Regions from separate parts of the Mus musculus genome. Here regions 1, 3, 4, 5, 6 and 7 are each reported to be linked to region 2. Evidence: microRNA targets listed by miRTarBase, many of them from high-throughput screens and not tested one by one. Region 2 holds a microRNA gene; each other region holds the end of a gene's coding sequence.

Region 1 (3,082 bases), not on the chromosome of region 2:
GTCTTGTTCCACTGATTTTGCTTTCTTGAGTATTAGTTTTGAAGAACAGTAAGTCTAATATAAGAGAAGTACTATTATTAAGTGTCCTTAACCATGTCAGAATAAGAGACAAAATTTAAGCTCAATTTCTATTTTTATGCACCAATAAAAATAGAACCCAGGATAAAGAGACTCAGGCATTGCTGGTCCTCCACTTCTGCAAACACTGTTGGGAAGGGCGGTCTCTGTCTGTCTCTCTCTGTCTCTGTCTCTGTCTCTCTCTCTCTCTCTCTCTCCATGAACTTCTGTGTTACATGTCCCCTCAAGTTCCAGACTCATCTGTGCTTCTTTAAGGTCTTGGCTCTAACCAGTCTCAGGAGGCCTAGGTTGGCCACCTACAGCTGCCAGAGCAAGTAGACACTAGGACAAGAGAAGAGAAGGCAGCACAGAGAACAGACAGAAAACAAAAGCAGACAAACAATAACTGAATATCCTGAATTTATGCTGTTAAAAACTGGTTAAGAATCTGATTCCTATGTAAAATATTTCCTCAACAGTAGGTTTGAGATACTTGCACTTTGTATATATTTCACTGTATTTAAAAATATTTCATAAGATAAATTACAAATATATTCTACAGTCAGAAAATAGTTGTATTTTCTCAATAGTTGCTTAAAAACTTCTGTTCTCAAGGCCCTACACTCTGACTATTGGCACCCGTTGGGTCCTTACAATGTATAGATCAGGGTAGTGAATACTCTTAACCACTGGCATGTGTAAAGTCCAGATTTGAGAAAGAACTTTTTAAAATTCAACAGCATTCTAGGAAAATTGCAAGAAAGTAAATTATCATCCATTTCAGGTCTGTGCCAACAGCCTATGAAGAGACAGGTGAAGAGGAAGGAAAACAGAAAGGAATGAATTAATTGCTACTGACTTTTGTAGCCTTGTGTGCTTGAAGAGACAACAAGTGATAGAATTCAGCTCTTTGAATCTCAACTGATGAGTTTAGAGAGCTGAGCGTGGAGCGAGGCCCCTTACCAAAGCTTAAGCAGATTAGGTTGAGAGCTCAGGATTCCTGATTTTTGCTCTGGAGTCCTTGCACTTCCAGATTTCAAGAGGATTTTACAAAGTATGTTTCATTGTTCGTATTAAATGTACAGAGGGAAATGGAAAAACTGCTAGTTCTCTTTTAAAGCTACACATTAATTTTGCAATTACACGATCTTATAAAGTTCCAAAAGTGCAGCCTAACAAGCCAGCAGATAAATCAGAGTAGGAGCAACACTCAGGGCTGGATTAGCCTCAGCTACATAAGACAAACTTGGCCTAGAGAAAGCAAACGCCTTTTCTTTAAATCACAGTGCCCAAATCAGATTCAGGTCACCTATGACTGCAGTCACTCCATCCAGTGCTGCCTCCCCCTTTGGCTACAACTACAGCAAAAAAAAAAAAAAAAAAAAAGAAAAAAGAAAACTCTAAACTCACATTCAGTTTCAATATAACAAAACTGTTGCCAATAAGAAGGCCTGGACAGGGTCAAACACCAGTTCTCCAGCAAGCAGAAATATTCACTAATACTTACATGAACAATTTGAATTTACAACATGAAAAAAGTTTACTTTTAATATTCAGCAAGTGCATGAAACTGGGTTAAGCTATGTAAAATACCAGATGGCATTTTTTTTTCTATTGTAATATGTGACTCATTTTTCTCTTTCTCCTGACAGTAGGGAAAAAAGCTAGGTTGAGGGCTACATTACCAAGTCTAGTTCAATGACATTTTGTCACATGCTACTGCAATTGGACAGAGTTGGAGCTAATTATTTCCCTTGTGAAATTCATTTAAACATTTAAATCGCAGAGGAGGCTGACTGTCCTATGGTATAGTGTACACAGTAAGATGAAGCACACACCGCAGACTGAAAATTGGTTCTTCTCCCCTTTGGACTCCTGTCTGAACATTACTAAGGATGCTCCCTTTTGCTGTGTTGGCATGCTGTTAGATTTATTAGTCAGTAGTTCTCAACCCCATTAATGTTCCACACCTAGGCTGCAACATCCAAATAACACACACACACACACACACAATCTCACCACCAGAACATATGGGAAGAAAGTGTGTGTAATGAGATGGCAAAGTGAGAAACAGTCCCTCTGAGAAAAAGCGGAGCTCGGTCATCTCCTAGTTATTAAGCCGCACACCACGAGGCAGAGCAGAGCTCAAGCTTTCATGCCCACTGCACAGCTTAGCATAGGCAGGGCTCTACCACTCTTGATTACCACTATGAGAACAAGGGCTCTCTCTTCCTTCTCACATTATCTATGTGAGAAAGTTTAGAGTTTTATGGATTAAAAAAAAAACATAATTTATATTGCTTTAAAATCTCAATTATTTACAGTAGCATGCCAAGATTAGAACATCTTACTTTAAAATAATTACATGAACAATTCCTTTGTACTATCCTCTTCTGCCAGTCCATTCTCTTCCTTGCTTTTGTAATTGGAAAGGAACAGATTTTCTATTTGAGTCAAGAACTCCTCAGCGATGAAGCAATTGGCTACTTTGCTCAGTGTTTTCCTTAGACACTCCAAAAGCTAGTAAAAAAGAAAAGTTTTATATTTAAATATTTAAGTATTAAGAGGGCTTGCATAACTGTCACTATTTCTTTTTAAACCCCAGATTTCTTAATACCCAAATGAGAAACACTGTCCTCACAAATCTCAGACGAGGGCACTGGAATCACTGGTGAAGGTACATTTAGCTCCCTAACAACTCCGCAGGAAATAAACCATGCGCAAGGAATTCTCCTCACTTTGTACAAATCTGTGATTTTGGCCCTTTTAGCAGTTACATTTACAGAGACAAATTATCTCTAAAGTTTTAAAAACAAACAATGCAAACAACCAAGCACGTAAGCCTGTGGGTTTAGGGATGAAGCACAGGGCCCAGACAGTGTGCAAGGTTCAAATCGGAGCCCATCACAACCAAAGGAACAAAACGAGCACTCAGTACATAGCGCATGGGCAGTTTTCTGGGAATGCACACATTGGTCTTTCAATAGTATATAGAAAAAAGCAGCAGAAAGAACTTGGGAAGTTT
Region 2 (3,082 bases):
CTGGTCCTGTTATGAACACCTGGCCAGGGTGTGGTGCCAGCCTCCAGGCCCTTAATCCCAGGCTTTGGAGAATCGGGCTCCGGGGGCGGGGCAGATGGCTAAAATTTCCCTAGCTAGTCTCGAAATCGCTGCTTTCCCCAACCGTCACCAGCGCGACCGTTGGCGACGGCGCAGCGCTCCATGAGAGGCGTGGCCGAGCATGGATTGGCTTCCCGGCAGCGCGAGGGGGTGTGGCCAGATGGTTTCTCCTTAAAATGGCTCCAAGTCTGGGGACAGCTAGAGCCAGCGGAAGGGCACGCCGTGGCAGTGCTGGAGTAGCTGTTCGAGTGGGACTGACTGGGCCAAACCGGACCAGACGTGAAGTAGACCGCGCCTGGAGCACCACCCCGCCCTTGCGCGCTCTGCGCGCGCGTACCGAGAGTCTCCCTCCCCCTGTCTTGAGCTGAGTCTAGGGCCTACTGGCGCATGAGTCCTTGGCGTCCCGCGGCATGGGCATCTCTGCGCACCGGTTCTGTCCTGGCCTCAGAGGAACTTTGTCGCGTTCTCTATCCGCTGGACTAGACGGGTGGGATGCTTGACACAAATGGGGCTTGGCTGTGGGGTTCTTTGCAGGGCCGGTTGCAATGGGCTTGGGGGGAGGCTGTCCTGCCGCTGCTATGTGGGCCAGTTTGGCCCCTGGCACTTCATGAGCTGGCACCGTCACCAGACAAAAGGTCCTAAGCTTTGGGGAGTCCCAGAAGTGGACACATGGGTTTACTTCCTCTCGGGTCTCACGGAATCGCTTCCCTCTTGACGGATTCCGAAGCCTGCCCGGTACAAGTGGCTCCTGCTTGGGACTCACAGGGCTAATCCAGCCCTTCTGATCTAATCCGGATCAGGACCTCGTCCCGGGGGATGCCCCCACCTTCTATTGTTCTGGGGCCCAGGTGAGCGTCTCATTCTCACTAGACTGGTTTAAAACACCTACTCCTTCCTACTCAGCCCACTGGGAAGGGATGGGCGGGTTCCGGTTTGGCCTCAGGGCGAGTGACCTGGGAGCAAGAGCCCTCCTCCAATGGCTGGACAGCGGGCAACGGAATCCCAAAAGCAGCTGTTGTCTCCAGAGCATTCCAGCTGCACTTGGATTTCGTTCCCTGCTCTCCTGCCTGAGCAGCGCCCTGGCCCAGATAATGTGGTCTCTATTCTCAGAAACACTACACTACTGGGCCATTCTGATCTCCATCTCTCAGGTGCACCCCCAGACTGATGGTGGCAGTCAGAGGCGACGAAAAAAGCTCGGGCTGATGGCCCTGTCTGGAATCCCTGGAGAACTCTGACCAGGGAGGTCCTGGGTCCTCTCTCTGAAGGGCCGCAATGGCGGTGAGTCCCACAAGGCCGCCCAGCCCGCAGCTCGCTAAAGATAGATCTTCACTTCCTGGGGAAAACCCACCCCAACCGTCTTCATGGAGGGAGAGTAGCTAAAATCACCAACTTGCTGGTGGGTCCCAGCCCTGCTAGCAGCTGAACCCACACCACAGCATGGAAAGTGCTTTGGAATGACACGATCACTCCCGTTGAGTGGGCACCCAAGAAGCCATCGGGAATGTCGTGTCCGCCCAGTGCTCTTTCGGCACCTCCCAAACAGGGCCTCATAGCCCCGGCCTTCCCGAACTTTTCCTATCTCTAGATGTCACTCCTCTCCGGAGCAAAGTTCACCGGTTGGATTCATTCATTACTGGGGGAAGTGGAGTTTCACGTTACTTGGAAACGAAAGAGTTTGGACATAGAAAAGCTCACCTGCAGCTTGCTCTACCTGAGAGCTCTGCTTATTTGGGTCTTCTCATCATCACATTTGTCTTAAACTGACCAGTTGCCTAAAGAACCAAAGGTGCCGGTAACACCAGTTTAAAGGAAAAACATTAAAGGCTGGTAATCCTGGAATCATGATGACTAATTCCTCGGGTATCAAGATGGGCAATTCTATCCGATTGGGCTTTTACTGGGAATAAAGACATTCCATACCGCAGCCGAGGAAAGGCGTACCAATAATCAGAACTCAAATTTTGCTTTGTTTCGTTACTTTTCCAAGTAGGCGGTAAAGAGTCTTTAATGGAAGACACGAGTGGTGGCACACACCTTTAATCCCAGTACTCAGGAGGCAGAGGCAGGTGGATTTCTGAGTTCAAGGACTTTCTGGTCTACAAAGAGTTCCAGGACAGCCATGGCTACACAGTGAAACCCTGTCTTGAAAAACAAAGTGTCATTAATGGTACAGCCTTATTCCTTTGACATTTCGTCTCGTGCGTCTGGCCTTTAATTTGTTTAAATGGGGCAGAAAAAGAAAAAAGAGACATAAACACAAAGATGTGAAACTTTGGTGGCAAAGTGTCTTGCCTGGTAACAAAGATCCGTTATCAAAGTAATAATTCGGGGTGACGATTTTTTTAAAAAGGAGGAAAAATGGACCCTCAAATTTGGAGGTTAGGGCTCATGAATACAGGAAAGGCCATCGGGAGGGAGAGCTGGAGGCGTGGGTAGAATGTAAGCTCACTTGGCATGCTCGATCGCTCTGGTCCATTCAGGAGAGTCCACGGCCGGATCCCCGCCCCCGCCAGGCGGACCTCCCGGAAGCTCTACGGATAACTTACTTCCTGTTCCATTTAGTCTTCCGGTCGCCATGGCGACCGGGCGCCTTGGGGTTGGCGAGACGCTGGAGGCCCTTAATGCAGCTGTAGGGCCTGGTAGCCCAGTGTGGTTTAAGGAAACCCATGCCCGGCACCTTCGTGTTCGAGACTTCTTGGCACCGCGAAGCGCGCTACAGGCGCGCTTCAGGGACGGCCAGGTGGGTGCGCTCCTGTGGGGCATGCCTAGCGGGATCCACGGAACTACGGCCCACTTACACACATCTGCCTGCAGGTGCCAGAGTGCGTGTTCCGTGCGGTCTCCTGCCTGCAGGGTCCCGGAGTGGCCCCTGTACTGCGCTGCGCGCCGACACCCGCGGGTTTATCGCTCCAACTACAGCGGCCCGCTGTCTTCGAACATGTACTCGGTGCCCTGGCCTCCTATGCTACTCCCGCCAAACCTGCCTCACCAGGCCCGCGAG
Region 3 (3,082 bases), not on the chromosome of region 2:
TTAATTACTTGGCAATTTAGGTTGATTTTTTTACGGTTTTTCGACTGCTAAGTTGAGAAGCTAAAGGGTGAAGTAAGGAAGGTGGGAAGGACTTGAGAAGGGAGGGAGAAAAAAATGCTGCTTTCATCCAGCAAGAGAGGGGAGAGGCTGGGAAATCAAGTGGATGCAATGCCTGCTCCCCACACATCTTTCTTTCCTGTGGTCCCCTGCCTCCTTAGCTCTGTCCTCCCTCACTGCCCCTGCTCTGGTCTGTGTGTGTGTGTGTGTGTGTGTGTGTGTGTGTGTGTGTGTGTGTGTGTGTGTGAGAGAGAGAGAGAGAGAGAGAGAGAGAGAGAGAGAGAAGAGAAGAGAGAAGAGAGTATTGATTTAACTAATACTGTATAGTGTATGATTGTCTAATGTGTTTCTATAAATCAAAAATGAATACATTATAAAAAAACTTTTTGTTATTATTATAGAGGGCCTTTAGAGGTAGAAATTTCCTGCCATTTGTTCAAAGAAGTCCAAAAAAAATCTTAATTTGTTTTTTAAGGTATGAGCAACCCTGCATTAACTATGGAGAACGAGACTTAGTTCTACAATCAAAATAAAACCACTCTTGTAAAGTAAGATGTTTTGATTTTATTGTTACACTTTATTTTTAACAGCTTCCTAGTCTCAAAGAGTTAATAGTTTCCATGAGCAGTATTTATTTTGAATGGCTTGGAAGGTATCTTACATGACCAACGGGATTCCACGAGTCATGTTGGACATGGATTATGGACCTAGCTTCAGTATCAGCCAGCATTTATGCTAACTTGGCAAGCTATAAAAATTAGTTGATGGCCGGGCGTGGTGGCACACGCCTTTAATCCCAGCACTCGGGAGGCAGAGGCAGGCGGATTTCTGAGTTCGAGGCCAGCCTGGTCTACAAAGTGAGTTCCAGGACAGCCAGGGCTACACAGAGAAACCCTGTCTCGAAAAACCAAAAAAAAAAAAAAAATTAGTTCATGGAAACGTGACAGGGATGGATCCTAAAACAAGCACTGTCTTACATTTTGCAGGATCCCAGAATTAACCTTTCCTCTCACTGAGGGTATTGTCTGAGGGTACTGTCATCATATCTTTGACCATCTATTAGCTGATTCTTACTTGGTCTAAGTACTAGATGACTAAGTCTTGTCAGCACAAGCTTCATCATCCCCATTTTGGGTCACTCACTGTTGGAACTCATCGTTGGTCTTCTTTAATAGTTGTTCCTGTTCGTTTTCTTTAAATTATAGTAACAAGTAAACTTGTGCTTTCCAATAAGATTCCTTAAATCCTATCTTGTTTATAAACCTGTAGTTAGCACAAAGGGATAATAAAGAGTGCCTTTGAAATAAACACCTGTGCATCTAGAGAAAAGCCAGCTCTCTCCCTATATGTGCAACATTAGAATAGATACAATATATCCATATATGGTATGCATGCCTGTAATCCTGGCAGTCAGTAAGTAAAAGAGAAAAGATTGCTGCAAGGTCATGGCCAAGCTAGTCTGTATAAGGAGTTCTAGGCCAGCCGAGGCTACATGGAAAGATCCTATCTTCAAAGCATGTAAACAAAGAACAAGCTCATTATAGCCAAGTTACACATTAAAAATTATAAACACAACTTTTTATTTTAAAAACTGCATTCTAAAAATCCTCCATTTTTAGAGAGACATGGGATTGCTGTCCAAAATAAAATAATTTGTATCAACATGAATATTGAATGTTTTAAAATTTTTCTTTGCTTGGTTTTGATGAATAACAATGTAAATAAGGGTAAAATACAGAAGGGTGTAGAGGCCTGTTCATTTAATCCCAAAATCTCAGGAGCAGAGCCAGGTAGAGCTTTGTGGAGTCAAGGCCAGCCTGTGCTAAGTAGTGATCTCCACGTCGTTCAGAGCTGCATAATGAGACTCTGTCTGGGGGGGGGGGGCAGGGGGGGAGTGAATACAAATTAAATTATAAGCTGCTAGTTGATAGTGTTTTGGCTTTTGGAAGCCATGATCGCTTCTGAATATATGATAGTACAATAGATCACACTAATTATAGCTATAGTTAGGAAGGTGAAAATGGAATATTCTGAATCATACTAAATTCCAAGTAGGTATTACTTAATTTCAAGAAAAGATCCTAAGAATGGACCTGTGAGTGGAAAAATATGAAGTACTAGTTAATACTGCAAAAAATTTATATATTTTATAGGTCTGGAGAGATGGCTCAGTGATGAAGAGCACTGACTGCTCTTCCAGAGGTCCTAAGTTCAATTTCCAGCAAGCATGTGGTAGCTCACAACCATCTATAATGGGATCTGTAGCCCTCTTCCGGTGTGTCAGAATACACAGCTACACTGTGCTCAGATACATAAAATAAATAATCTAAAAATAATAATAATTTAGAGAACATAGTTGTGTAAGACATGGGGTCCTCCAGATTTGTTTTCAGTATTTCAAACCATTGGTTACAATTACCATCATTTAAGTGGCCATTTTTAGTACAGAATTTTCTCTATATTTATAAATAGTCCACTTGTTTAAATGACAACGCTGTTTCTAAGTCTCCTTTGTATTCTAATATTCTGACACTGACCAGTGCCAAACACATTTCACAGAGGCAGCATTTGTAGGATCTCAATATTTGATAGAGTCGTAACTGAGCAATTAAAATTAAAAACCAACAGAAGCTTGATTCTATGACCTTTGAACATATAAAGTTGGTATTTATAGCCAAATCACAGCAAAATCAACTGCACACACCTTTAAAAAACAAAAACAAAAACAAAACAAACAAAAAACCACCAAGTAATTTTCTACGTGTTTCTCATTTAAGTAACAACCATTGCCAGAAAAGTTTTTAAATTAAATTTCAGTCCTCTGCACCAGTTCTTTGAGGAAGGCAGCCAAGCAATGGAGTATGGAGTCAAGAGCAAGGTCAAAGGTTACCTTTAGCAATTCTTCTGTCTAGAACTCTTTGCTATTCTAAATCCAAAAGCCATTGGCTTCTGTTAACTAGCTTCTGCTGCTCAGGAGCAGGGAATAAAGAAGGGGAATTAGCTTATTCAGGCTCTCCTTCAACTC
Region 4 (3,081 bases), not on the chromosome of region 2:
AAAATACTCTGAGAGACAAAAGCAAAGTGGTATAGGAGATAGCACCCCCATGAGACTTGCAAAGATCCCCATACTAGATATCTGACTCTACCATTTACCCAATGTGCTGACATCAACGTTGCTTCACAGTAACAGTCATCTGTGTTGTGTCTCTTTTAGAAACCCTTCACTGAAGCAGCAGCTGTTCTCATATGCTATCCTGGGATTTGCCTTGTCTGAAGCTATGGGTCTCTTTTGTTTGATGGTTGCGTTCTTGATCTTGTTTGCCATGTAACAGAAATTACTGCCTGAAATGTTGGCATTCATAGTAATTACGGATGTAATTCTGTGTATCTTGCTGTGACTCCGAAGACTGTAGTACTGGTGTCATGGAAATATATGTTATTTCCACAGTCATTTCATTAAAGATGAAAACTTTAATTCTTGCTGTGATTTGTACTTATATAAGTGTGGATCATCATAAAGATGATCTGTTGAGGTAGGTGGTTGTCCAAGTCAGAGGAAGGTACAGCAGTTACCCTGGTTTTGAAAAAGTGATGAATATGAAACATTGAAAAACACTTAGTGAAGTAGACCAAGCAAAAGACCCATAGTGTGATTTTGTTTGTATAAAATAGGTAACTTTGTAGAGACTAGGCCAATTAGAAGTTATTGGGAACTCTAGGAGCATGGAACTGTGGGTGACTGACTGTTAGTTGTGGAGTTTCATTTTGGGTGATTGGTGCTTGAACAAGGTTATAAATGCACAAAACCATCTCATTACATGGTTACCATAAACCAGGCATGGTGGCGCACGCCTTTAATCCCAGCACTTGGGAAGCAGAGGCAGGCGGATTTCTGAGTTCGAGGCCAGCCTGGTCTACAAAGTCTACACAGTGAGTTCCAGGACAGCCAGGGCTACATAGAGAAACCCTGTCTCGAAAACCAAAAATAAGAAAAAAAAGAAAGAAAACCAGTAGGTGAGTTTCCTACTGTTATGAGTAAGCATACAGAGATGTTTGGAAGGGCTGGGAGTCATTTTCCAGGGAAGAGATCACTTGAGAACACTGCTTGTCTCCACCTTATGCTAAACCTTGAGTAGCAAGAGGACCACCTAGTGAGTGGCTCAACTGCAGACTTAAAAACAGAAGAGCACTGGCACATGAAACATTGCCAGGAAACAGTGTGAGCTACAGGTGAAAGGTAGGCTGGCACACAAATGCACAAATTAGCAGATAAATGAGTTTTATCATGTGATCACAGACAGCGGGGCATGGTGGCCCACGCCTTTAATCCCAGCACTTGGGAGGCAGAGGCAAGCGGATTTCTGAGCTCGAGGCCAGCCTGGTCTACAAAGTGAGTTCTAGGACAGCTAGGGCTAGAGAAACCCTGTCTCGAAAAAACAAAAACAAAACCCCTTGGAGCTATGTTTAGAATTATTTAAGGAGACCAAGGTGGTCTGGTGCTTGTGCGTGTCTTTAGTCTGGGAGGGAGAGGCCTCTGGATCTCTGAGTTGAAGGCCAGCTTAGTTTAGAGTTCCAGAATGGTCAGAAAAAGACCAGTGTGGAATGGCTTGAAGTCAGCAGTACCAGTGGCTACCACAGCAGATCTTCTAGTGATAAATAGGATGTTGTGTGGCAAGAAATTTCCTGGGGAAATGGCAGGTAAGGGACCCATGGCAAAACAAGTATGGATACTACCAAACCCTAAGTTGAACCAATGAGTTTTATTGGGATTATTTACACGTATATGAGTGAGGGGTTACTGTAGCAGAGATGTCTCAAAGGCAGCCGCATCACCAAAGCCCACTCTGGCACCCATGACAGCTCACAAATCTAGAAACCTAGAGCACACTGCAGCTTGTGAGTTTACCTTCATGCTTAAGAAACTTCCCTACAGGATGGAATGTTGCAGTCCCCAAGGAAACTGTTAGACACAGAGGCCTTAGTCTAGGATGGTGGCCACGATAATTATAAAGGAACTTCACAGGACTGGAGAGATGGCTTTGTGGATGAGAGCACTTACTACTGTTGCAGAGGACTGGAGCACTATTCCCAGCCTCAGTTGGGTGCTCACAACCATCTGTAGCTCTAGCTCCAGGAGATTTGAGTCCTCTTCTGACTTTTGCCCACACCAGGCACACATGTGGTGCACATATACACACAGGCAAAAGTACATACACATAAGATTAATTTTTTTTTTCACTTGGGTGACTTTATTTATTATATGTAAGTACACTGTAGCTGTCCTCACACACTCCAGAAGAGGGAATCAGATTTCATTACTGATGGTTGTGAGCCACCATGTGGTTGCTGGGATTTGAACTCAGGACCTTCAGAAGAGCAGTCAGTGCTCTTAACCTCTGAGCCATCTCTCCAGCCCAGCCATCTCTCCAGCCCTAATTTTTTTTAATTTTAAAAATAATTCTTAAAAAGAAAATTTCAGGGCTGGAGAGATGACTCAGCGGTTAAGAGCACTGACTGCTCTTCTGAAGGACCTGAGTTCAATTCCCAGCAACCACATGGTGGCTCCCAACCATCCATAATGGGGTCTGGTGCCCTCTTCTGGTGTGTCTGAAGAGAGCAATGGTGGTGTACTCATGCATAAAATAAATGAATAAATCTTAAAAAGGAAAAGAAAGGAAGAAAGAAAAAAAAAAAAAAAAGAAAGGAAGGAAGGAAGAAAGAAAGAGAGAAAAGAAAGGAATCTCTAAAAGTATTGGGACCTGCCTAGATCTCTAGGGCCAGTCAGAAAAGACAAGGGTGTCTATTCCCTACTACTCCTGAGAAGAAAGGCTTCACACATATACTGTCAATACTCAAAACAAGCCTGCAAAATTAGGAAAAATCAGTTCATTTCCCAAATTATTTGGCCATTGTTTGGTAGTACCCAGATCTGAGTTCATAACTCCCTGGGTTTCAGAACCCATGCTAGGGTTTTCAATATGATTATGTCCAGGATGCCAAAGAGAAATTAATTTGGGGAAATAAAGAATTTTGATTTTTGTATAATTTTAAATATGAGAATCTTAGAAGTAGACTTGGTCCTGTATAGAGAGGACCAATGCAGTGTGCCTAAAAGCTGTGAATACAAGGTCAGAGT
Region 5 (3,082 bases), not on the chromosome of region 2:
ATTAATATAACAAAGGCCTGAGATTTCACACAAACCGAAGTCACCTCCTTCATATGTCCTCTAAGTGAACTGTGACCACATGAGGAAAGTCAGTTTGGGCATTGCTCGGTTTTTATTCATAACTCTTGTGTATCTATAAAGATAAACCCATGGAAAAGGGGTCCACATTTGCCAAAGAAGAGCGACTATGTCCATTCTGTGTATCTCGTTCCATTTAACTTTCAAGTCCGACATGGCATTTCCATGGTTTGTCTTATTCCACTTTTTGCAGGGAAGAGGGCTTAAGATATATGAAAATTAAATTGAAATTATGCATCCATGAGCTGATGGCATAATTACCAAGTCAAATAAAGATACTGATGATGCTGAAACTCAGTAAAAAGAGACTGATACTGAATATAAACAATATCTAAAAGTTCCACATCTAAGGATCTAAAACATCAGACACATTCCATGGACACAGATTTACAAGTCAGTTCTAACGCTAGGAAAAGCCAAACACTGTTTAAATAGACCTCAGACTGCAGTAGTGGAGAGATTATTACTAACGCTGACAAAGGAACACAGCTGTAGGACTGAGCATGTCACACATGAGCAAAGGTCTAGGCACAAGACATGTGGGACAAGAGTCACCCCCAAGAGGACTTTATGATGTAACAGGAAAAGTTAGCACCATCATGAAGACTGAAGAAAGAATCACAGGAGCTCCTATGCACAGGAGGCGAGCCCTGAAGAAGGGTTATCAAGTATAGAAAAGACTTCTGGATGGTCTCAGAGGCAGAGTAAGACATGGGGAACAGCTGAGGTTTGCCCTGGACATTGTTGGCACCATTAATCAAAACTACTCAGGAAGAAAAGGCAAGTAGGATATGCTTTCATTTAGGGGAGAGGACCGAGTCAGCTGAAAGCTATGCAATTGGGATCGGACGTGAAATGCAGGACTAGGGATGGGATGCCCAATGAGCAAGAGCTGAGGACAGCAGCACAGTGTGCATGTGCAACAGACCTAAACCATGCCCTCACATGGCAGGAGAGAGCACCACTGAGGGATGGAGCACTGTTAGGGAGAGACTAGAAACGGAGCGAAAGGAAGGTGACGTGTCAGAGAGCAAAAACATTCAATGCGGGACCCAGAAGACTATGGCCGTTTCCTGTAAAGTGAGGCGCAAAGCTGACTGAAAGGTGACACAGGGTGAGGGTGAGGATGATGAAATTCATCAAGGCTGGCAAAAAAGAAGGCTGGAGAAACTGGCTTGAACATAGGAAGGTACGTGATCGTCTTTACAGACCAGAAAAATAAACCTGCATACGATTCTTTGCATAATTTTGTACTGATAAGCCCAGTTATTTTCACCTTAAAATATATTCTAAAATTAAAATTAACACAATGTTAAAGTATATACATTTTATAACTTAATACAAACATAAAAGCATTACCATTTTATGACAAATTTTATTTCTAAAGATCTATACAGTTTTTGTGACTATACTTCAGGATGATTTTTTTGCCTCTAATACCATGAGATATTAAATATTATTAACAATTTCTGCTTTAGTTCCAGAGTGATTGCTGTGATATAAAAGATTACATTGAGTATGTATACCTTCATCTTTAGCCCTCCTTCCCCACAGACAAAGTGTCTTCAGGGGAGCTAATATTCTGGACACCATTTTTCAAGAGAAAAGTTTAAAATAGTATTCTATTATTATGTTCTTAATGGTCTAAATTATTCTTCACAATAAACATGCTTGTTTTTTATTATATACACATGCATACATATGAAATTCTTGCCTAAAATACATGCATCCACCATCACAAACAATGATTAACCCTCCTTACAATTCTAAGAATGCCCCGTTAGTAAGGCACTCGTGTTTAGAAGCAGGACGTAACTACCAAATTAAATAAGATGTTTAAAGAAGATTTTTATTAAGCACAAACAACTTTTAATACATTATGAATACAATAGGAAAATGTCTTTCAATGAATATGATATATCAAAGATCTGAAGGGTTTTCTTCATATAGACATTAAAAATAATCAATTTTGAAGAATTACAAAGTAAAATTTTGAGGACACCACTATTCACTAACAGTCTAACTATGGTCTAAATATCCTACATCACCTGGGGAGGAAGGGCAGCCATGTTTTATAGAGAATTCCTAAACTCTGATTAGCACCATTCAAAGCTTAGTATTGGTTGTTTGGCTACAAACTGACAAGTCAGGTACGGCGTGAAAGCGAGGACTCAGTGCGGTGGTTACAATTCCTTCTCTTAGGATACCAGGAGTCTACAGTCTCAAAGCATGTTGTGACTATGCCTTGGTGGTGGAGAAATGTTAGCATTTAGAGAGAGACACGTGTCGTGGGAAGAAAGGAGGCTTATCCCGCTGTGAAATGCATCTTAACGAGCTGTGGCTAACCCCAGAGAATGCCAGCAGCAAAGAATGTGGGCGTATGACCTGCAGATCTGCGGGAGCTGGGGACATTAGCTCTCCGTGGTCACCAATTCGGGATGTCTCAGCTGCTGCCTTTTGAGACTGACCAGTTTCATTCTGTCCCTGATGTGCTCTGCAGTAGAAGCCATGTCACTTGGACTTCCAAAATATTGTTCAGTTCTAAAATTAGAACACACAGAAATCACACAGGTTAATCCAAATTCATTTAACTGTACCAGGTGCATAAAAGCAGATGTTATAAAATATGACATGACCTTTGAGTTCAAACTAGTTCATCTGGGGCACAGTGACTTGTACCTATAAACCCGTTCTGCTGGGGTTGCTCTTTTGCTGCCGGTAAATCATATGACACTAAGCTACTTTGACAGTTCAAATCCAGGTATCCCTAGAGATTTTCTCAGTGTAGACTATGAATGATATTCTTCCAAGGGAATAAAGTGGTAATTTTTTTTTCAATATGAATTCTAAATACTCACTGGAAGTTCATGACATAGCAGTATGTCCCTTGTGTCTCATTTAAGTTCTGTCTATCTGTTTGGCTCTAGGAAGCCCCCACTGCTGTAACCTGAAAAACCACAATTATCCCACCTGCAGTTGCAGCTGCAGCTGCAGTCACTGCTGG
Region 6 (3,082 bases), not on the chromosome of region 2:
GGTTTATAGCAGTCCGGGATCTAGGCTACCCACCGTGTGTGCTGTGGTCAGGTCATCTACGATGTCTGGACTTTGGGAGGAACTCAAGGCCCTGAGCTTCTAAAGGTCCAGAGCTCTGCAGTTAGGTCCTGCTGGTCTCTGCTTCTGTCAGAGACTTCCTCCTCAGCATCGTCACCCTGGCCCTGGACGGCCTAGGACTTGCTGCAGTCTTGAGCATCTCTCCGCCAGTCTTTACTGCTCTGACATCGACCCTTCTTTCCACATGGACCTCCCTCTCCTAGCTGACAGCTTGTCCACTCCCATCTGATATCACTTCCAGGACACCTCTGGTCTTAGGTATTCCATGCTGCCATATTAGGGTGTCAGAAGCCAAGTCCAAACGCCTTTCTCTCTTCCTTCCAGGCCAGCTGTGCTCTGAGCTATCATCACCTCTTTTTTGTTGTTTTGTCTTTTGAGACAGGGTCTCACTAACTAGCCCAGACTGTCCAGGAACTCTCTCTCTGAGGACCAGACTAGACCCAAACTCACAAAAGTGCTGGGATTAAATGTGTGCTCTGCCATGTTCAGCTCCACCTTACCTCTTGACCAACAACATGGCCTCCCTCACACGCTCCCTCAGTGTGGCCTGGCTTACTACACTGTTCCATTTTTTCCTCTCTGGCGTCTTTCACCTCTTCCTTCACAATCACCAATTACAAGAACATCTTTCCTGGACAGAAGCAATGGTCCTATCTCCCCACTTCTTGCAGTGACCAGCTATTTGTTTTAGAGCCAGTTCTAATGACTGCAGCCTGCCCTAAAACTTGAGACCTAGCTAGACATGGTAGCAAACCCCTGTAATTCCAGCACTTGGGAAGTGGGGGCAGAAGGGCGAGGAGTTCAAGGCCATCCTTAGCTACACAGTGAGTCTGAGGCTAACATCTGCTAACCACCCAGAGCCAAGCAAGTTCAGCCCCCGGTCTGTTCAACGCTCCAGGATGCAGTCACTGAGTGATCTGGGACTGTGCTAAGTTAAGGCTGGCCTTTCAGGGCCCCAAGGCCTGGTTCCTTCCATTGCAGTTTGCTGTCTTAAGTGCTTGACCATTCCTGATCTTAGAAGCATCTCTACGAATGACTACACTAATGCTGGAGGTACAGCTCAAATGCCATTTCATCCAAGACCTCACAGCATCTGCCCCAGAATTCTCTCCTCCTCTGTGCACTGAACAGGAAGGGCAGTGGTGCTCACAGGCTGTCTCTGGCCAGGCCTGGAGCAGGGGCACAGGAAGAGGAAGGTCATTCCTGGGAGCACAGGCTTGATGCTGATGCTCAAGCCAGAGGCCAGGAGAGCTTACACAGTGAGGCCAGTGCCAGCCAGACACAGCCAAAGGCTCAAGAGATGCAGTGTGGAAGAGAAAACAGATGTGTGCCGAGAGGAGTGGGGATTAACACAGTGCTTGACGTGCAGGGGCAACTTGCTGAAACCAGTATACCCCCAGCCATTCCAACCATGACAGCTGACGAGAACTACTACGGCTACTCCTGCTTATGTGGGAGGCGAGCGGAATAATTACTCCACCAGGGAGGGGAGGACGGGTTACTAAGCTCCTCCCCTTTCAGGCCCCAGACTGAAGTGACTGAAAAATAGTCACCAGGCACAAAGAGTCTGAGACAGCGAGGAGTCAGGCACCATTTTTTATAAAAACGCATAGTCTCATTTTCCACTCTTTAAAATCACATTCAAAAATCGGCAAAGAAACGCCCTAGGAGTGAGTAGACAAGAGGGGAGGGTGTGCCCACCCAGCCCCCAAGGGGAGAGGGCGCGACACCACACACAGCTGCGCGACTGGCACAAGGGGTCATGCGGTGGGCAAGGTGGCACCTGTGGGCAGTGGCCACTGACATGACATGGGCTAAGGGGCTGGACAGTGTGGGTGGGGGCACACTGACCAGCCAGGACAGGGAGGGCTGGCCCCAGCTGGGTTCTTATGCTGTGCCACCCACCTGCCCAGGCTGTCCCACTGTGGTCCTGGGCAGGTGAGCCTCACCCAGCCCAGGGTTAGGGATCTAGGTTCAGGCTAGGCCAGTGTGGCCCAATCCACAATTGTCTTTTCTATGCTCCTGAGTCCAGGCACGCAACAGGAAGAAGAGGGGACTTGCAGGGAGGCCAGCAGCAGCCACTGCCAATGGCAGCCTCCTGATGAGGCAGTGGTAACACACAGGCTTTTCCTGAACAAGGACCCAGGAGCTGTCACTGTGGGAGACCTCCTAGTCTGAGGAGACAAGGGCCTTCTCTCACCAGTGGCAAGAGGGCAGGACAGCAGGGGTCTGTCCCTCTGTGGCATGGGAGCTGTGATAGGAAAGTTCAAGTAGTACCCTGTGTTGCCCCTTTCTAGGGCAGGGGTGCTGGGCCACAGACTGAGCACAGCCCACAGAGCCTGAAGTGACACACCCACTGAGTGTGGCTTCACCCCATGGAGGGGCAAGAGGGCTGCTGAGGGTTGCTCTTCTTCCCTGTAGGAAGATACTGGGAGCAAGGACCCTAGGGGGTGGGAGTGGGGACAGGGGAGGGGTGCTAGACAGTGGCTGGGTTGGTGGCAGCAGGAGCTGAGGCAAGCGGGCCCCTCCCTGGGGGCTGGGCCAGGCTGGGGCCACAGGAGATCACAATAATTACAAAATAAAACATTTTCCGCTTTGCGGGAAAACAAATAATAAAAATTCAACAAAATAAATTAGAGGTTTATAAAAGGCGGGTGGGCAGGCGGGCAGCACATGGGTGGATCAGAGGCCGTTGGCACTGCCACGCTGGATCAGCGGCACCTTGCTCAGCTCCACCACAGGCGAGCGTGGCTTGTTCTTCATCTTGGGTACTCGCTGTACCAGCTGCTGGGCCTCGCGGTAGGCATCACGCAGCTCCTTTTTCCATTGCACCAGCTCTGGATCACTCTGTAAACATCCAGGCTCTGTCAGCCTCTGCTGGTCAGGCACCCACCCCCCACCTGTACCCTAACCTCATCCCCTCACCCCCACTTACATCACACTGCAGGACAAACTGCTTGCCACCTCGGATCTTAAGCAGGAGACACTTGCGTTCCTTGATCTG
Region 7 (3,082 bases), not on the chromosome of region 2:
GTAGTGCTGGTTTAGATGAACATTTAGGACATGAAATAGAAGCATTTTAAGATTTGTTTTCATCTTTGACTCAAATTGTATTTATGGATCTGTATGAATTTGTGGATGCAGATACCTGAAGAGGTGAGGAGAGGGCTTTGGATCCTCTGGAACTGGAGTCTCAAAGTTTGTGAATGACTTCACATAGGTTCTGGGAACTGAACTCTGGGTCTCTACAAAAACAGTGCATGACTTAACTGCTGAGCCATCTCTCCAGCCTAAAAGAAGCCCCGTGAATTGGATTTAGTATAACATAGTCTAGATAAAATAGACAGTACAGATGACTCAAACTGCCTTAGGGTTAAGTAGCCCTGATTAGAAAATATCTCTATCCTCAGATAAAATTTATTTTCCCATCAGCTTTTCTGTATCAAAATCAGCCTTATCTGATGGTAAATTTCTGATGCTGCTTTCTGATAAAAGGTTAATAAAGCCATATTGAATAAGAGGAATGATTATCAGCTAATACTTATTATGCTGCTATGAGATAGAGAATTTAAACATTTCAACCAAGAAATCAATCCACTGGTTTTGATTCTGTATTCATGCCTTTGCATGTGTATGTTTTTGTTTTTGTTTTTAGAAAGCGAAGATAAGCATGAAAACGTGATCTGTGACCAGAACAGCAGAAGAAAACAAGACATTGAAACAACTTGCGCAGCATCCACCTGACATGAAGGAGGGAAGGAAGCTCCATCCTCCTAGACCTTTTCCTCTGAACCTCTTGCATAATCTTCATGTTTTCTAGGCAGTTTGTTGATTGTTGAAATTTATTGTATGTGCCTTTAAAATGGCAAAAGCAGTAGACCTGTGGAGATTGAACACCTTTCCTTTTTGTAAACATTGTGGTGTTATACCAACAGACCCAAGTGGCACGTCTAAGAGGCACTATCTGCATAAATTCTGAACATGATGAGCCCTAGCCTATGGTTTCTCTCTTGTTGCAACAAAAATATTTTCCTTTTTACTGACAACCAGAACTCCACATCGATGTGGTTAGACTTGTGGGTAAACTTCGTTCCTAGTGAATTCTTTGTATCTACTTGACTTCTGCTTATACAGTGTCTATTTGAGAAGTAAATACCATCAATATGTCATGATTCATACCTCTCCCATGCTTAAGTTGCTCTCTATGATATTTCCCTTGAAGCCCTATGAAAAACTGGTCTGCAGCAGAGGTAAAAGAAATCATGGGATGTTTCTCTATGTCTAACACTGCAATAACCACCCCCCTCTCTCTCTCACACACACACATACACATACACACAATTCTCTCTCTTACACACACACACACATAGTTTCTCACTCATGGACCGATACACATACACATACATTCTTTCTCACACACATACACAAGCTTCACTTAATATTTTCAAGAAATTTGAGTAAGTAAAGTTCATGACAAATTTATTTTTTGACAACCACTTATTGTAAAAAAAAAATAGAAAAAAAATAGATGGATCAGATTTATCAGGACCGTGTTAAGTAAAATACCTGTCTGCATATTTTGACATGCCTGGGTTGTGATCATGTGTTACAGCAGGTGATCTACCACTATGATGTGAGGATGATGTATTCGTTTCTCATCTAAAGGGCCCTAGGGAGGGAATTTATTCACTCTGTCAGGAAAAGATTGGTAAATTTCCTATTCTTTCAAACCTATTTAAGCCAGATCACAATTGATTAAGATGGTTTTATATAACATTAATAGTTGTTCTTTTCAATTGCTGCTAATAATATTTGTTGAGAGTTATGGTTTTAGAAAAGGGGAAAAATTATTGCTATTGCAAACCAGTTACAGACAGCAACTTAAAAATAATGTTCTAAATCATAGCTATACTTGTATTTATGTAAAGTATGATCTCTTGCCTTTTACTTTGTATTTTGAGTGCAAAGAAACAGTAGTGTTTTATTTTCTTCTGCTGGTGTTTTGTAGCTTTCCTGTCCCACAGTCCTGCCAATGTGTACATACCACTCTTCAATGAAGTAATAGGGCATTTAACAAAGATCGCTATGTGCAATACTGTATTTAGTGTTTCTATTTCAATTTTTTAGGATGTTAATTTATATGAAAATAAAATGAATAATAAAATATTTCTGTGTCAGCTGTGTGCATATCATATGTGTGTGTATATATATATATATATATATATATATATATATATATATATATACTTAAAAAATAAAGACATTGTGTTCAGCTTTTGCCAGGGACTAGGGATAGGAAATAAATCAACTAAATATCAATCGTTTCAGGATTCTGGAACTTAAGCCTCTCATGCTACCTGAGTCAGAAATCCTGATAAAATATTAACTCTTCACCCAGTTTTTTTCTTTCCTGAGATCTGACAAACATTCTACTGTCCTAATATCAATTTCCAATGTGATACTATACCGTAAAATTTATTATATGCAAGACCAGATTCAGTTTGTCATCTTCTCCCTCCAAATTTCATTCATCTGTGTTATCTTCCTCAGAAAACAAAGCCTACATCCTCAGGTACAGGAATCATTCTTTATATCTTACTCTCTCTTGAGTCTCCATTCATTCAACTGCCAACACTATTATTAGTTGCGACTGGTATGAAAGTGTTCTCATTTTCCTCCTAGACCATGAGGGTCTTAGTTTAAAACTGGTATGAATTACCTTGATAGCTGTATTGGTTTTGATTTGTTTTATTTACCTTGATAGAAATACCTGAGCAAAACCCCTTTTTGCAGAAGTGGTTGATTTGGTTCACAGTTCAAAGGGACACAGTCATGGGTAGCAGGATCATAAGGTGACTGATCATAGTGCTTTCACATTCATGAATCAAAAGAAGGGGGGCAGAGAAGGAGAGGGGCTGGTGCTGTTCTCAGCTCATTTTCTCCTTTTTATTCAGTCTAGAACCTCAGCCAGTGGAATAATGCTGTTCATATTTAAGGGTAGGTATTTCTGCCCCAGTTTGCCCCATCTAAGACATGCTCAGAGATTTATCTCCTAGGTGATCTCAGAACCTGCCAAGTTTGCACTCAATATTAACATCACAGTATCTTTTAATTG

Evidence for each region. Region 2 holds the annotated microRNA mmu-miR-425-5p (AAUGACACGAUCACUCCCGUUGA, at 1,535-1,557, shown strand). A microRNA usually pairs through its seed, bases 2 to 8, with sites in the 3' UTR of a target mRNA and lowers its output. Matches are read on the target gene's strand: a 7mer-m8 pairs with bases 2 to 8, a 7mer-A1 pairs with bases 2 to 7 and ends in A, and an 8mer does both.
Region 1: miRTarBase lists Mysm1 as a target of mmu-miR-425-5p. The part of its 3' UTR that is shown has no 7-base or 8-base seed match.
Region 3: miRTarBase lists Zdhhc2 as a target of mmu-miR-425-5p. The part of its 3' UTR that is shown has no 7-base or 8-base seed match.
Region 4: the mRNA of Atp5g3 is a reported target of mmu-miR-425-5p. Seed matches in the 3' UTR shown: 7mer-m8 at 364-370.
Region 5: the mRNA of Sestd1 is a reported target of mmu-miR-425-5p. Seed matches in the 3' UTR shown: 7mer-A1 at 1,443-1,449.
Region 6: the mRNA of Grk2 is a reported target of mmu-miR-425-5p. The part of its 3' UTR that is shown has no 7-base or 8-base seed match.
Region 7: miRTarBase lists Fmn2 as a target of mmu-miR-425-5p. The part of its 3' UTR that is shown has no 7-base or 8-base seed match.

Annotation. Positions count from the first base shown.
Region 1 is chr4:94,944,547-94,947,628 of GRCm38, forward strand. Mysm1 (myb-like, SWIRM and MPN domains 1) reads right to left here. Exons shown (of 20, transcript NM_177239.3): 20 at 1-2,577. The coding sequence ends at 2,419. Among named protein-coding and RNA genes, the nearest start is that of Eqtn, 17 kb to the left of the region's middle.
Region 2 is chr9:108,567,255-108,570,336 of GRCm38, forward strand. Mir425 (microRNA 425) reads left to right here and starts at 1,523; the gene lies at 1,523-1,607. It overlaps Ndufaf3 (NADH:ubiquinone oxidoreductase complex assembly factor 3), which reads right to left and starts at 182. Exons shown (of 5, transcript NM_023247.2): 1 at 1-182. Dalrd3 (DALR anticodon binding domain containing 3) reads left to right here and starts at 2,638. Exons shown (of 12, transcript NM_026378.3): 1 at 2,638-2,821; 2 at 2,896-3,082. The coding sequence starts at 2,657. It overlaps Mir191 (microRNA 191), which reads left to right and starts at 1,065; the gene lies at 1,065-1,138.
Region 3 is chr8:40,474,203-40,477,284 of GRCm38, forward strand. It overlaps Zdhhc2 (zinc finger, DHHC domain containing 2), which reads left to right. Exons shown (of 13, transcript NM_178395.4): 12 at 533-605. The coding sequence ends at 573. Among named protein-coding and RNA genes, the nearest start is that of Cnot7, 36 kb to the right of the region's middle.
Region 4 is chr2:73,905,786-73,908,866 of GRCm38, reverse strand. Atp5g3 (ATP synthase, H+ transporting, mitochondrial F0 complex, subunit C3 (subunit 9)) reads left to right here. Exons shown (of 5, transcript NM_175015.3): 5 at 160-420. The coding sequence ends at 274. Among named protein-coding and RNA genes, the nearest start is that of Atp5g3, 4.0 kb to the left of the region's middle.
Region 5 is chr2:77,184,642-77,187,723 of GRCm38, forward strand. Sestd1 (SEC14 and spectrin domains 1) reads right to left here. Exons shown (of 18, transcript NM_175465.6): 18 at 1-2,619. The coding sequence ends at 2,490. Among named protein-coding and RNA genes, the nearest start is that of Ccdc141, 16 kb to the left of the region's middle.
Region 6 is chr19:4,284,340-4,287,421 of GRCm38, forward strand. Grk2 (G protein-coupled receptor kinase 2) reads right to left here. Exons shown (of 21, transcript NM_001290818.1): 20 at 3,014-3,082; 21 at 1,660-2,925. The coding sequence ends at 2,761. Among named protein-coding and RNA genes, the nearest start is that of Ankrd13d, 2.7 kb to the left of the region's middle.
Region 7 is chr1:174,820,597-174,823,678 of GRCm38, forward strand. It overlaps Fmn2 (formin 2), which reads left to right. Exons shown (of 18, transcript NM_019445.2): 18 at 623-2,133. The coding sequence ends at 649. Among named protein-coding and RNA genes, the nearest start is that of Gm51689, 65 kb to the left of the region's middle.